2 linked regions of the Schizosaccharomyces pombe genome follow. The protein of the gene in region 1 interacts with the protein of each later gene in a pairwise test. Each region holds a gene or a part of one and is shown on either strand. Other genes may lie near its edges.

What was found. The genes of interacting proteins can lie anywhere in the genome.
Region 2: the proteins of cdc5 (region 1) and cwf7 interact in binary tests that used the Schizosaccharomyces pombe proteins (3 or more experiments, as listed by UniProt).

The regions. Positions count from the first base shown.
Region 1 is NC_003424.3:2,692,138-2,697,930, forward strand, and holds cdc5 (splicing factor Cdc5), read left to right. Parts: upstream 1-2,561; 5' UTR 2,562-2,620; coding exon 2,621-2,639; exon of another isoform or gene 2,640-2,679; coding exon 2,680-2,699; exon of another isoform or gene 2,700-2,756; intron 2,757-2,765; coding exon 2,766-2,780; exon of another isoform or gene 2,781-2,844; coding exon 2,845-2,964; exon of another isoform or gene 2,965-3,033; coding exon 3,034-3,482; exon of another isoform or gene 3,483-3,546; coding exon 3,547-5,197; 3' UTR 5,198-5,280; downstream 5,281-5,793. Other genes in the region: [pyruvate dehydrogenase (acetyl-transferring)] kinase Pkp1, read right to left, coding at 1-37, 97-969, 1,049-1,215, 1,299-1,392; SPOM_SPAC644.13C (Rab GTPase-binding protein), read right to left, coding at 5,281-5,793. UniProt on the Schizosaccharomyces pombe protein: Involved in mRNA splicing and cell cycle control.
Region 2 is NC_003423.3:1,576,554-1,582,213, forward strand, and holds cwf7 (Prp19 complex subunit Cwf7), read right to left. Parts: upstream 1,517-5,660; 5' UTR 1,457-1,516; coding exon 1,423-1,456; intron 1,384-1,422; coding exon 854-1,383; downstream 1-853. Other genes in the region: ppi1 (cyclophilin family peptidyl-prolyl cis-trans isomerase Cyp2), read left to right, coding at 1-264; SPOM_SPBC28F2.05C (xylose and arabinose reductase), read right to left, coding at 1,622-2,452; ERMES complex subunit, membrane tether and lipid transfer protein Mdm12, read right to left, coding at 2,574-3,395; DNA recombination mediator Sfr1, read left to right, coding at 4,135-5,034; hrd3 (HRD ubiquitin ligase complex subunit), read right to left, coding at 5,550-5,660. UniProt on the Schizosaccharomyces pombe protein: Involved in mRNA splicing.

The DNA.
Region 1 (5,793 bases):
TATAAAGTCGAGCGAGAGGAAGACCAAACCCGAAGCCCTATGCATGTTTGTTAGTATTATATATTTCAACGATCAATAATAAAATGTTTCACTTACAGCCATAGGAGTAGTAGAATTTGCGCTAACGATATCGTGAGGATCATCTGTCAATGTAGGAGAGGCAGTTGTAAACATGTATGACCAAACTAAAGGGATATTTCGACGGGATATACCGCCTCCTTCATCAGAGATTTTGATGGTTATATCCTCTTGTCCTTTTGCAACAATGACCTTTATGGGAGGAAAGAAATCACTGTCTACACCATGAAATTCTACGGTTGCACGAAGACTGTTTTTGAGAATTTCAAAGACTGCGTGATTTAAATGGGACTCTACATACATCATTTCAAGTGAAGGATCGCAAATAATTTGAATCTCAGGTGCTTCAAACAATCCGTACGCAAGCCTGCAAATGTACTTGGCATTTTCAGCAGCACCTTCTATTATTTGATAAATATTTGCACGTGTACTTATCACACCAACGTAATTCTCACGCGGCGGTTCAGAGACAAGTGCTATATATTGACCTAACAGCATTCGAATTCCAATACGAGACATGTAAAACCTATCCAAAAATATTTGAATACTGTTGTCAATTTGGTTAGTCTTCCTTCGGTATTCTTGTATGTCCAAAGCAATTTCGACTGCAACGTTATCGTGTCTAGTTCGAATGGTATTTAAAAGGTATGCAAAATTACTATTAAATTTTAACAAAGATTCGGGCCAATTACAATCAACGCCATTATCTTGGTCAGAAAAATCTGTTTCAAAATAGCGACCTTTTGAAGAGTCTAAATGAGTATTTGCAAGCGAGGGATTATGAAGAATTTCAGAGTCCATTAAACTTGACCTCCATTTCGGGGCATTGTGATATCGAGCGTGCTTTGGAAGACATTTCGGTAGTTCCACTCCTTTCAGTTCAATAATTTCCTTCAACCAGTTAGCTTTGTTTGATTTCTGGTTATGTTTCGACAAGTATCGAACATGCAAATATACACATTTGACCTACCTCCATAGATCTACCGTAAGCAGCCTTTACGGAAGATATACGCTTCATACTTCGTAGCATCGGTGAAAGATTCTGCAGGTCTTGGATGCGCCGAGCCAAGCGAATGGGCAATTCATCTCGCAAAAACAAGCCAGCCCGGAAAAGTGTTCCTGGTGTAGGGTTCTTGCCTTCATAATAAAAATTAAGCAGTCAGTATAAAATTTCTAGTATGAAGTAATCTAAGAAAAATTAACTGAGCAAAAATTCTTACCAAAATACACTAATTGCTTTAAAGACAACCCTGTTTGAGGATATTGAGCCAAGAGATTGACTTTCTCCTGTAAAGTTTTCCCGAGCACTGACATTTCTTTTAAACCTTAAGTTTTTCTTTAAATTCGATAATGATAAATAGAACAATTGTTCAATCGTAAACTTTGTTGGTTTGTCTAACAAATAGATGATAACCCATGGACGAGCATAAAAAAAGCGGCAATTTGCAAAATATAACCTAAAGAAAGTAAAAGATGAGCTTCAGAAACAAACAAATAAAGCAGTTTCTTAATGTTTTCACACAGAATCTAAGAAAGCTTTTGCTAAACTAATGCATTCATATGTTTGCAAAGTACCCATAAAAATAATGAACTTGAGTGTATTCCATTAAAATTGAAATGCGTGATACATTATACTTCTTTTGCATTGCTTATTTTATTTTTCACAATACTGCTAGCTACACAGTTTGTTATCTAATTTAAGGATACGTAGAACTGCGGTGAGTTTTCCTTGTGGTCTATTATATTACAATACACAGGTCGTATGAGTAGCAACTGAGTATAGGTATTGTATTAACTAGGTTATAAAATGTTACCTATCACTAATATAGCTTATAACTGAACCTCGTTCCTCAGTTCAGTTAAAACTCTATTTATAATATTTCTAAATAGTTGCTATCAACGGGTATCTATGTATATAGACGGATAGTTACCCGTGATGATCAATAGACGGATCTTAATTAGTATTCCAACATATGACATATAGTGATATGTAACGTAGTGTAGTATTGCTGACAAATACGCGGTCATTAGGTTACTTAACGATACACATAATACTGCAATGCTTGTAGTTACTTGTTGATATACCAACCATAAATAAGAGGAAGAGTATGGTAGATCCACCTTCAAGATAAACATATTTGATCATTGCTATATCCTGCTTGTCAAATATTTTCTTAATACTCAACGGTTAGGAATATTCAAAAAAATTTAATGTTGTCCAACGATTTTGCGCTATTATATTTTTGCGATAAAGAAACATGTGCTACATTGAAATAATTTAAGGTAAATATGTGATACGTAGCAAACTGGAAAAAACAATAAAATGAATATTTGGTTTGACTATTAGTGTGTTTAAGAAACTGTTCTTTTAAAAGTTAAAACTACTTTAAATATAAAATATAATTTTGGTCACTTTCTGCTGCACTCGACATTTACCTCAATTTCCCATCCACCCTGTTTCGTCGCAAGTTGTTACAGTTACTACAAACCTCCATTACCACGCTTTCTGACAATTGTCAGGGTTTTGGCGAATATTTAGAAAATGGTTGTTTTAAAAGGAGGTTTGTAACTTTTTTTATTGTATTTTCTAACATAATTTAGGTGCCTGGAAAAATACAGAGGTAAAGACTATGATTTTAACCTTCTACCACGCGCAATGTTTTTGTTACTAACTTATTGGTAAACAGGATGAAATCTTAAAGGTATTTTTTTATTTATTAGTTACATATTTCCTTTAATATTTAGAATACTAACGCAAATTCCTAGGCTGCTGTCAGTAAATACGGTAAAAACCAATGGGCCCGCATAAGTTCATTGCTGGTTCGCAAAACTCCTAAACAATGTAAAGCTCGTTGGTATGAATGGATCGATCCAAGCATTAAAAAGGTATGTTAAACATGTAATCACTATTTGTTATTTGACAAGACCTATTGTTAACATTTCCTTCACATTTAGACTGAATGGAGTCGTGAAGAGGACGAAAAATTATTACACTTAGCTAAGTTACTTCCTACACAGTGGCGGACGATTGCTCCAATTGTAGGTCGGACGGCCACTCAATGTTTAGAACGCTATCAAAAACTTCTTGATGATTTGGAAGCGAAAGAGAACGAGCAGTTGGGATTGATCAGTGGAGAAGGTGCAGAAGCAGCTGCGCCTGTTAACGATCCAAATTCCCGGCTTCGTTTTGGCGAAGCAGAGCCCAATTTAGAAACCCTACCTGCACTCCCTGATGCCATTGACATGGATGAAGACGAAAAAGAGATGTTGAGTGAAGCACGTGCACGTTTAGCAAACACACAAGGAAAGAAAGCCAAACGAAAGGATAGAGAAAAGCAGCTTGAATTAACTAGAAGATTGTCACATCTCCAAAAGCGAAGAGAATTGAAGGCAGCTGGAATCAAGTATGTGTTATTATTATTACTTTATTGTATTGTTTTTCCTTCATTATGTTAATCTATAACTTAGTATAAAGCTCTTCCGTCGAAAGAAGAATGAAATGGATTATAACGCTTCTATTCCATTTGAAAAAAAGCCAGCGATTGGTTTTTATGATACCTCAGAAGAGGACAGGCAAAATTTTCGGGAAAAGCGAGAAGCGGACCAGAAGATAATTGAAAATGGAATACGGAATAATGAAATGGAATCCGAAGGTCGAAAATTTGGTCATTTTGAAAAGCCAAAACCTATTGATAGAGTAAAAAAGCCCAACAAAGATGCCCAAGAAGAAAAAATGCGACGTCTTGCCGAGGCTGAGCAGATGAGCAAGAGGCGGAAGTTGAATTTACCTAGTCCTACTGTGTCTCAAGATGAACTGGATAAAGTAGTGAAACTAGGCTTTGCAGGCGATCGTGCTCGCGCTATGACTGATACGACTCCAGATGCTAATTACAGTACTAATTTGTTAGGAAAGTATACACAAATTGAACGAGCTACTCCATTGAGAACACCAATTAGTGGTGAACTTGAGGGAAGAGAGGATTCAGTTACAATTGAAGTTAGAAATCAATTGATGAGGAACCGCGAACAATCTTCTCTCTTGGGTCAGGAAAGTATACCTTTACAACCTGGTGGTACTGGTTACACAGGAGTTACTCCCAGTCATGCAGCTAATGGCTCAGCTTTGGCAGCACCTCAAGCAACTCCTTTTAGAACACCACGTGACACATTTTCTATTAATGCAGCTGCGGAGCGAGCAGGACGATTAGCAAGTGAAAGAGAAAATAAAATTCGATTGAAGGCTTTGCGAGAATTGCTTGCAAAACTACCTAAACCTAAAAACGACTATGAACTAATGGAGCCTCGATTTGCGGACGAAACTGATGTTGAAGCTACTGTTGGAGTGCTTGAAGAAGACGCAACAGACCGAGAACGTCGTATCCAAGAACGTATTGCAGAAAAAGAAAGGTTGGCAAAAGCGAGGAGGTCACAGGTTATTCAAAGAGATTTGATTCGACCATCTGTAACACAACCAGAAAAATGGAAGCGTTCACTTGAAAATGAAGATCCGACTGCAAATGTTTTATTGAAAGAAATGATTGCTTTGATTTCATCGGACGCCATTAATTATCCGTTTGGAAATTCAAAAGTGAAAGGAACGGCTAACAAAGTGCCTGATTTGTCAAATGAAGAAATTGAGAGGTGTAGATTGTTACTAAAGAAAGAGATAGGGCAACTAGAAAGTGACGATTATATCCAATTCGAGAAGGAATTTTTGGAAACGTACAGTGCACTTCACAACACCTCAAGTTTGTTGCCAGGCTTGGTAATCTACGAGGAAGACGATGAAGACGTTGAAGCCGCTGAAAAGTTTTATACGAACGACATTCAACGAGATTTAGCTAAGAAAGCATTGGAATGTAACAAGTTGGAAAATCGGGTTTATGATTTGGTTAGATCTTCATATGAGCAACGTAATTTTTTGATAAAGAAAATCTCGCATGCTTGGAAGGCTTTGCAAACAGAAAGGAAAAATTTAACGTGCTACGAATTTCTATACAATCAGGAGCGATTAGCTCTACCTAATAGGCTTGAAGCAGCTGAAATAGAGCTAAGCAAAATGCAACAAATCGAGGCGTATGCTCAACAAGATTATGCTAGGGTTACTGGACAAAATTAAACTTCACTTCACTTTGTTTTAAATAATTGTCATAGCTTATCATTCATAGTGTATATTATCATGCCTGAAATAAAACGAAAGTTTTATAAAAAGATAATCCAAGCTAGAGAAAAGTAGAAAAGGAATAAAGGGTATACTGCCAACAATTTTTTGTTGGATAGATTAGAATTTTGTAAAACACCCATAGCAGCGAACAATGTCCAGGCATACATTGCAACAATCACAGGTATGCGTATAAATATTAAGGGAACGAATGCACAAACTATAGAAGCAATCATTAAAGGGAAAGAGGAGTACCCCAATATACACATAGATTGAAAAATGCTAATGTTGGCCCCTAGTAATTTTATATTTAAAGAACAAACCGCTTCCCCAAACCATATGAGCGCGACAACGACTGTAAAAACAGATTCTCGTTCAATCTTGTCAGTAGACAAGGCAAGTGCTAAAGCAATTACGAGGGAAAAAATCAAAGGACCCCACAAGTCCCAGTCGCGTAGTACTTGAGCATTTTTGGGATACAAAACATAGACGAGTTTTTCACCAATAGCTCTAAATTCATTAAATAATGTAACACGAATGGGTTCGTCCAGAGA
Region 2 (5,660 bases), on another chromosome or scaffold:
ATTTATGGCGAGAAATTTCCTGATGAAAACTTTGCCTTGAAGCATAACAAGCCTGGTTTGTTGTCTATGGCCAACGCTGGTCCTAACACCAACGGTTCTCAATTTTTCATTACCACCGTTGTCACTCCCTGGTTAGATGGCAAGCATGTCGTTTTCGGTGAGGTCACTGAGGGTATGGATGTTGTCAAGAAGGTTGAAAGCTTGGGTTCTAACTCTGGTGCTACTCGTGCTCGCATTGTCATTGACAAGTGTGGTACCGTCTAAGCTTGTGCTTTTTTAACTTACTCGTTGATGCATTTATGAAAAAGAACTATTGGTTCCTAGATAGTCATAGTTCATCTAACGACAATTTTTCCTATAAAGTTTGCGATAAATTTTTGTAAAGTATTCGAAAATGTAAAGAGAAAAACTTTAAATTAAGAGAAATCATTCAGCTGTTAAACGTATAAGTAATAATAAGATTTCAGTAACAAGGAAGCTGCGACGAAGTGTTTATAGCTATTGATCACGATCCATAGCATATAATCAAGAAAGTACGTATTACTGAGGTTAGACAAAAAGTAACTTAGTTAAAAAATCGACGACTTGGTTGGCCCATAATAACGCGCATAGTAGTAATTGTATTAACATTTAACTGTTTACTAGGATACTCTTATCAAAAGTAATCCTAACCTTAAACGAAAACCGGGAGTCTTTTTGATGTGAGGCATGTTTAATTATTTACATAGAAGTCCATAGTGCTAAGGAAGCTTAAGTTAGTCACCCTGGATTATATCGAATTACCTTAACGCAAGAATGTAACTCTGATTATGATATTCATTAGGGATAATATTTACGTTCAATCAAATTGATATTATGACAAGAGAGTAGCAACACGGCACTGAATGCTGCTCTGCAGCAATTGTCCAAACTTTACTTCAGCTTCAGCAAGTCGGGCACCCACTTCCATTTGATAATGCTTCCTTTTACGATTACATCCTTGCGAAAGTTTTTTGGTGTTTACTAACTCTTTTTCTAATAATTCTAGCTGAACTTCTAAAGCCTCCAACGAACTATCAAATGCTTTTTCTCCATGCTTTTCTAGCAAATAAAGGTTATCATTGCGAGATTTTTGATATTCCCATACAACAGCGGACTGCAACAGGCTTTCACGGGTTCCCGGTGGTTTTAGCTGTATGTAGCGTTGAACGTCGATGGCTGCAAGTTTTTCTCCCTTTCCAGCCGCAACAATGGCATTTTCCAGTCGATCTGATAAACGATGGGATTGAAATTTCTTTTTCTGTTCCTCTTGTTTAATTAGTAAACCTCCAGATCTCTTTAGCTCCTCCTCAACAATTTGAGCAGCTGCTGATCTATCTTCTTCGTTATAAGTAGATTCAAAGTCTAAATAATTTGATTAGAAGACATAAAAAAAAAACTTACAAGGTAATGAATCCAAAGATATATTATAACTCATTTTATGCAATCCAGAAAAAATCCGCCCTCTCCATTAGACGTTCGTGGTTGGTATTTGGTTAGTGCTCAGCACTTTGGAGATACCACATATTTTACAAAGACATAATTTATGATAAGCTACATACAATGAGATATAAGTTTAACAAAAAATCATTTTTATAATGTTTCAAGGAAGTATAATAGGATTCCAAGTAGGTTTACTCACGAATTCTTCATCCCAAGTATCCATGACATCCATATCTGATGGGTCAAGCATGAATTGCTCAGCCTTCACGTTCTCATGGATATGAACAAACGACGAAGCTTTGAATATTGGTGAAACCCCTTTCTGAAGGCAATAACGAAGAAGAATATTCGCCGGTGTTTTATTGTACTTTAAGGATAAATCTAAGAGTCGAATATCACTAAGACGATATCCTCTTGTTAGCGGTGAAAAAGCCTGTACTAAAATACCGTGATTAAAACAGTAAGAAAGAAAAGTAGGCCTGTTATTGAATGCAGAAAATTCGACCTGATTAATAGCTGGAAGGGGCAACCCAAGACTGATAATTTCTTCCAAATGATGAATATTATAGTTGGAAACTCCAATTTTGTTTATCCTTCCTTCTTTTTGATGCTGCAATAGTGCTCGCCAAGACTCAATACGGCGTACGGGCCACTTTGGTGAATGTATTAGCACGACGTCTAACTTTGGACGACCTGTTCTGCGAAGAGACTGTTCGACCGCTTTCCAGGTACGTTCAAATCCTTGTAAGGAGTCAGGAATCTTAGTTATTAAGGTGATATCTTCACGTTTAATATTCACATTTTGATGGCAGAAATCTTGAATGGCTTGTTCACATTCTTTTTCATTTCGATATGTAATTGCTGAATCAATTACGCGAATACCAAGCGAGAGTGCCTCAATTACTTGCTGGTAGCAATCCTTAAGTTGATATACACCAAAGCAAAGTTGTTCCTTTTCAAAATTGGTTTGAGAAGGAGAAAATGGTTTCATTAACGTAAGTTGAGGTAGATGAGAGAGCTCAATGTATAGACAAAAATATTTTCTAAATCCCTAAACCTTTAAGTAGGAGATTAAAGGAAATTTTTTATATATTTAGGATAATTGTAAAGAATTATTCAATGGTTATATAGCTAGGCCAGACAAGTTCATCCTCAATAATACGTTTAACTTTTTCCGATACAAATTTCTCGACTTTAGCAACATTTTTTAGCAGCTGTTTATTAGATTCTCCAATAATACTTTCCACTGTTAAATCTCGAATAACACTTGATGCATGCTCTCCAGTTCCGTGCAGCAATGTATCAACGAAGCATAGATGCGTCCGCTTTCCCATTTTAGCCAAAACAGCAATGGCATCGATGGAAATCCTAATAAATGAAAGTTTGAATGGAAGAACTGCAAATTCAGAGTTCGGGTAATTCATCGATAGAACCGCTTCCAGGCTTAGATTTGCGTCTCCGTCATAAGATACGTGTGCAGTAACTTGGAAATCGTTAGAACGATCTCTTTCTTGATGATTATCCATTGGAGTACTTGGGCGACTTTCAGGAATTGGGCTTGTGAGTCCACTTGCAGATAGAATCCCGGGTGAATTAAATGCGGGATTAAAATATGCTAGTCTTGAAAATGGATGTTCAGCAGCGTAAGGTGGAAGATCCGTAAGCACTGGTGAAACATTATTGCGGGAGCATTGATCACCCTCTAGTTCTTGGTTAGCTAATTCGAAAGCTTCATTTTCATAAAATTGGGGATCAGGATCGCCGATTTCTTGAATAGTAATCTGAGGTGAGACTTTGCCGAAATGGAAGTCAACAACCTTTAAATGCTTTATATAAGATGGTAGCGACAAATTCGAAACTTGTCCTTCGAGAAGATGTAAAACTTTTGCTTCTAATTCTGAGTCTAACTTTGACCAATCAAAGTCAATAGACATTGTTCTGCAATTGTAAAAAAAAAATACGAACTCTTGAATCTCTCAATGACGATTGTAGCAAGTTTTCAAAATTTAAGTAATTTCTTCGTCAACTTGGTTAATGAAATAATATTTAAACCGGTTCTCTAAATTTTATACGAAGACGGCATGAATTTGATACTTTAAACAAAATCCTCCAGCAATTTTAATGTCCTTTCCTTCAATGTTCTTTTTTACTCATCGAGAATTGCAAGTGAATTTTTAAGATATCTATTTATCTTAAATATTACCTTCTGTAGGTACCAAAATCTTTTCTCCTAGTATTGTCAGTAGAGTTAGGTGGTATTCCCAGATTACCTTCTAACAAAGCCTACGCGGTTTAAAAAAGGTTAAAAAACAAATTTGTAAATTAATAAACCTTTTAGTTTATTACTATCGTAATTTGTATAAACATTTAATTTTTTGGAACCACCAGTCATGTGCTTCAGTCTTCTTCTACCTAAGTTCTTGTTGCTTGCTGTTATTTTCACCTTCTGCTAGTAAAACGTTTTCAACGTTTATCTGGAATTTGTGGTATTTCTTCATTTCTATAACAATTAATATTCAATTCATTTAATTATTTGAAGTTAGAGTTTAAACATTCAACTATTACACTCAACGCGTTTGTTGACAAAAGTTACGCGCTTCATTGCATCTTTGTTATAATTTAACATTCACTCTTTCATCTTCGAATTAGTACTTTAAAACGATTTAACTGAAAATGTCGCAAACAATTAACTCTGAACTCAATGAAAATGCTACTTCACAGTGTAAAGAAGATTTGAAAGTTTCCCTAAGCGAAAGTGATTTACGTGACTCACAGGGTCAGTTAGGAATAGAAAACCCTCCTAAATGCAATAACAGTGGCAATCACTCAGATAACCTAGGTTTTATCGAGCAGTCAGAAACAGTACATCCAGAGAATGAGAAGGCTTTGACGCCGGACCTGCGAGATACAAAAATACATACTTCTTTACCAATTACTACACCTTTTTCAAAGAAAAGGGCTCGAGAAGCCAAAAATATACTTCTTAAGCCGTTCAAAAGCCCCTTAAGACAAACTGCCAGTCCTCAAGTTGCAGACACTAATCTAAAACCATCGTTAGCTGTAACAAATCTTAACTCTGATGAAACAAACACTTCTTCAGAACCTGTTACTTCTCCCTTAAGAACAACGCCTAATTCAATAAAACGGCAAAAACGACTTTTCAAGTCACCTATCTCTAATTGCCTTAATCCAAAGTCCGACCCTGAAATCACACAGTTGCTTTCTCGTCGTTTAAAACTTGAAAAAGAAGTCAGAAATTTACAAGAGCAGCTCATAACCGCCGAAACTGCACGAAAGGTTGAAGCCAAAAATGAAGATAAAGACTTGCAAACGTTGATACAGAAATGGAAAAATGCTGCTCAGCAAGCCGCTGAAGTACTTTTTAAACCAATGGCTGAACGTATTCGTTTGGCTGGAGGTGTTACTCAGTCCTTTCGTATTGAAGAAGGTGAAAATAAAGGGCAAATTCAGGAAGTACGAACTGAATTTACAATGAGTATGTTTCTAAATCAGTTTGGTGTTCCTGTTCATTTGATGTCTTTTGATGAAGAAAATGGTGATTGGAAATCGTAAAGGACTCCTTACTATTGTTAAAAAAATTTTCGTTCGTACTAGTTAGAAAACCTTTAGTACGAACTTAAATATGTTTAGCTAGCTTACACCAAAATCAAGGGTATACTAATTGAACGTACAGAGGTACCTTAATCGTTTACATACAAATTGCGCCGAGCTGGTATCGAAATTCTTTACATGTAACAATGAATCGTTCCAGGCTGAGTTTATGACTTTAATTTATATAATTATTAGCATTATACAATAACATGTCTCATTAATTTGAAATTTCTTGATTTTGAACCTTCTGGTTCTAAATTTTTTCTGGAGATATTTAACATTCAAACAACAAAAGTCGATTAATTGGCTGACAGACAACAAATATAGATCAACCAATTGAAAGATGAAAAACAAAATTTATTCAAAGCATGATTTAATCACCGACGAACCCTAACATACATATATTTTTTATTCTGCATCCATCGAGCAACAAAATTTTAAATTAGAACGCAAAAAAATCGAAGATACAATTTTTATTAAGCGCGGTTTTGTCTACGGATGATTCGCTCACGTCGTTCTTGAAGTCGATGCTGTTGATGGCGTCTCATTAAAACCAGTCCGACAACTACCACAATAAGCGTGACACA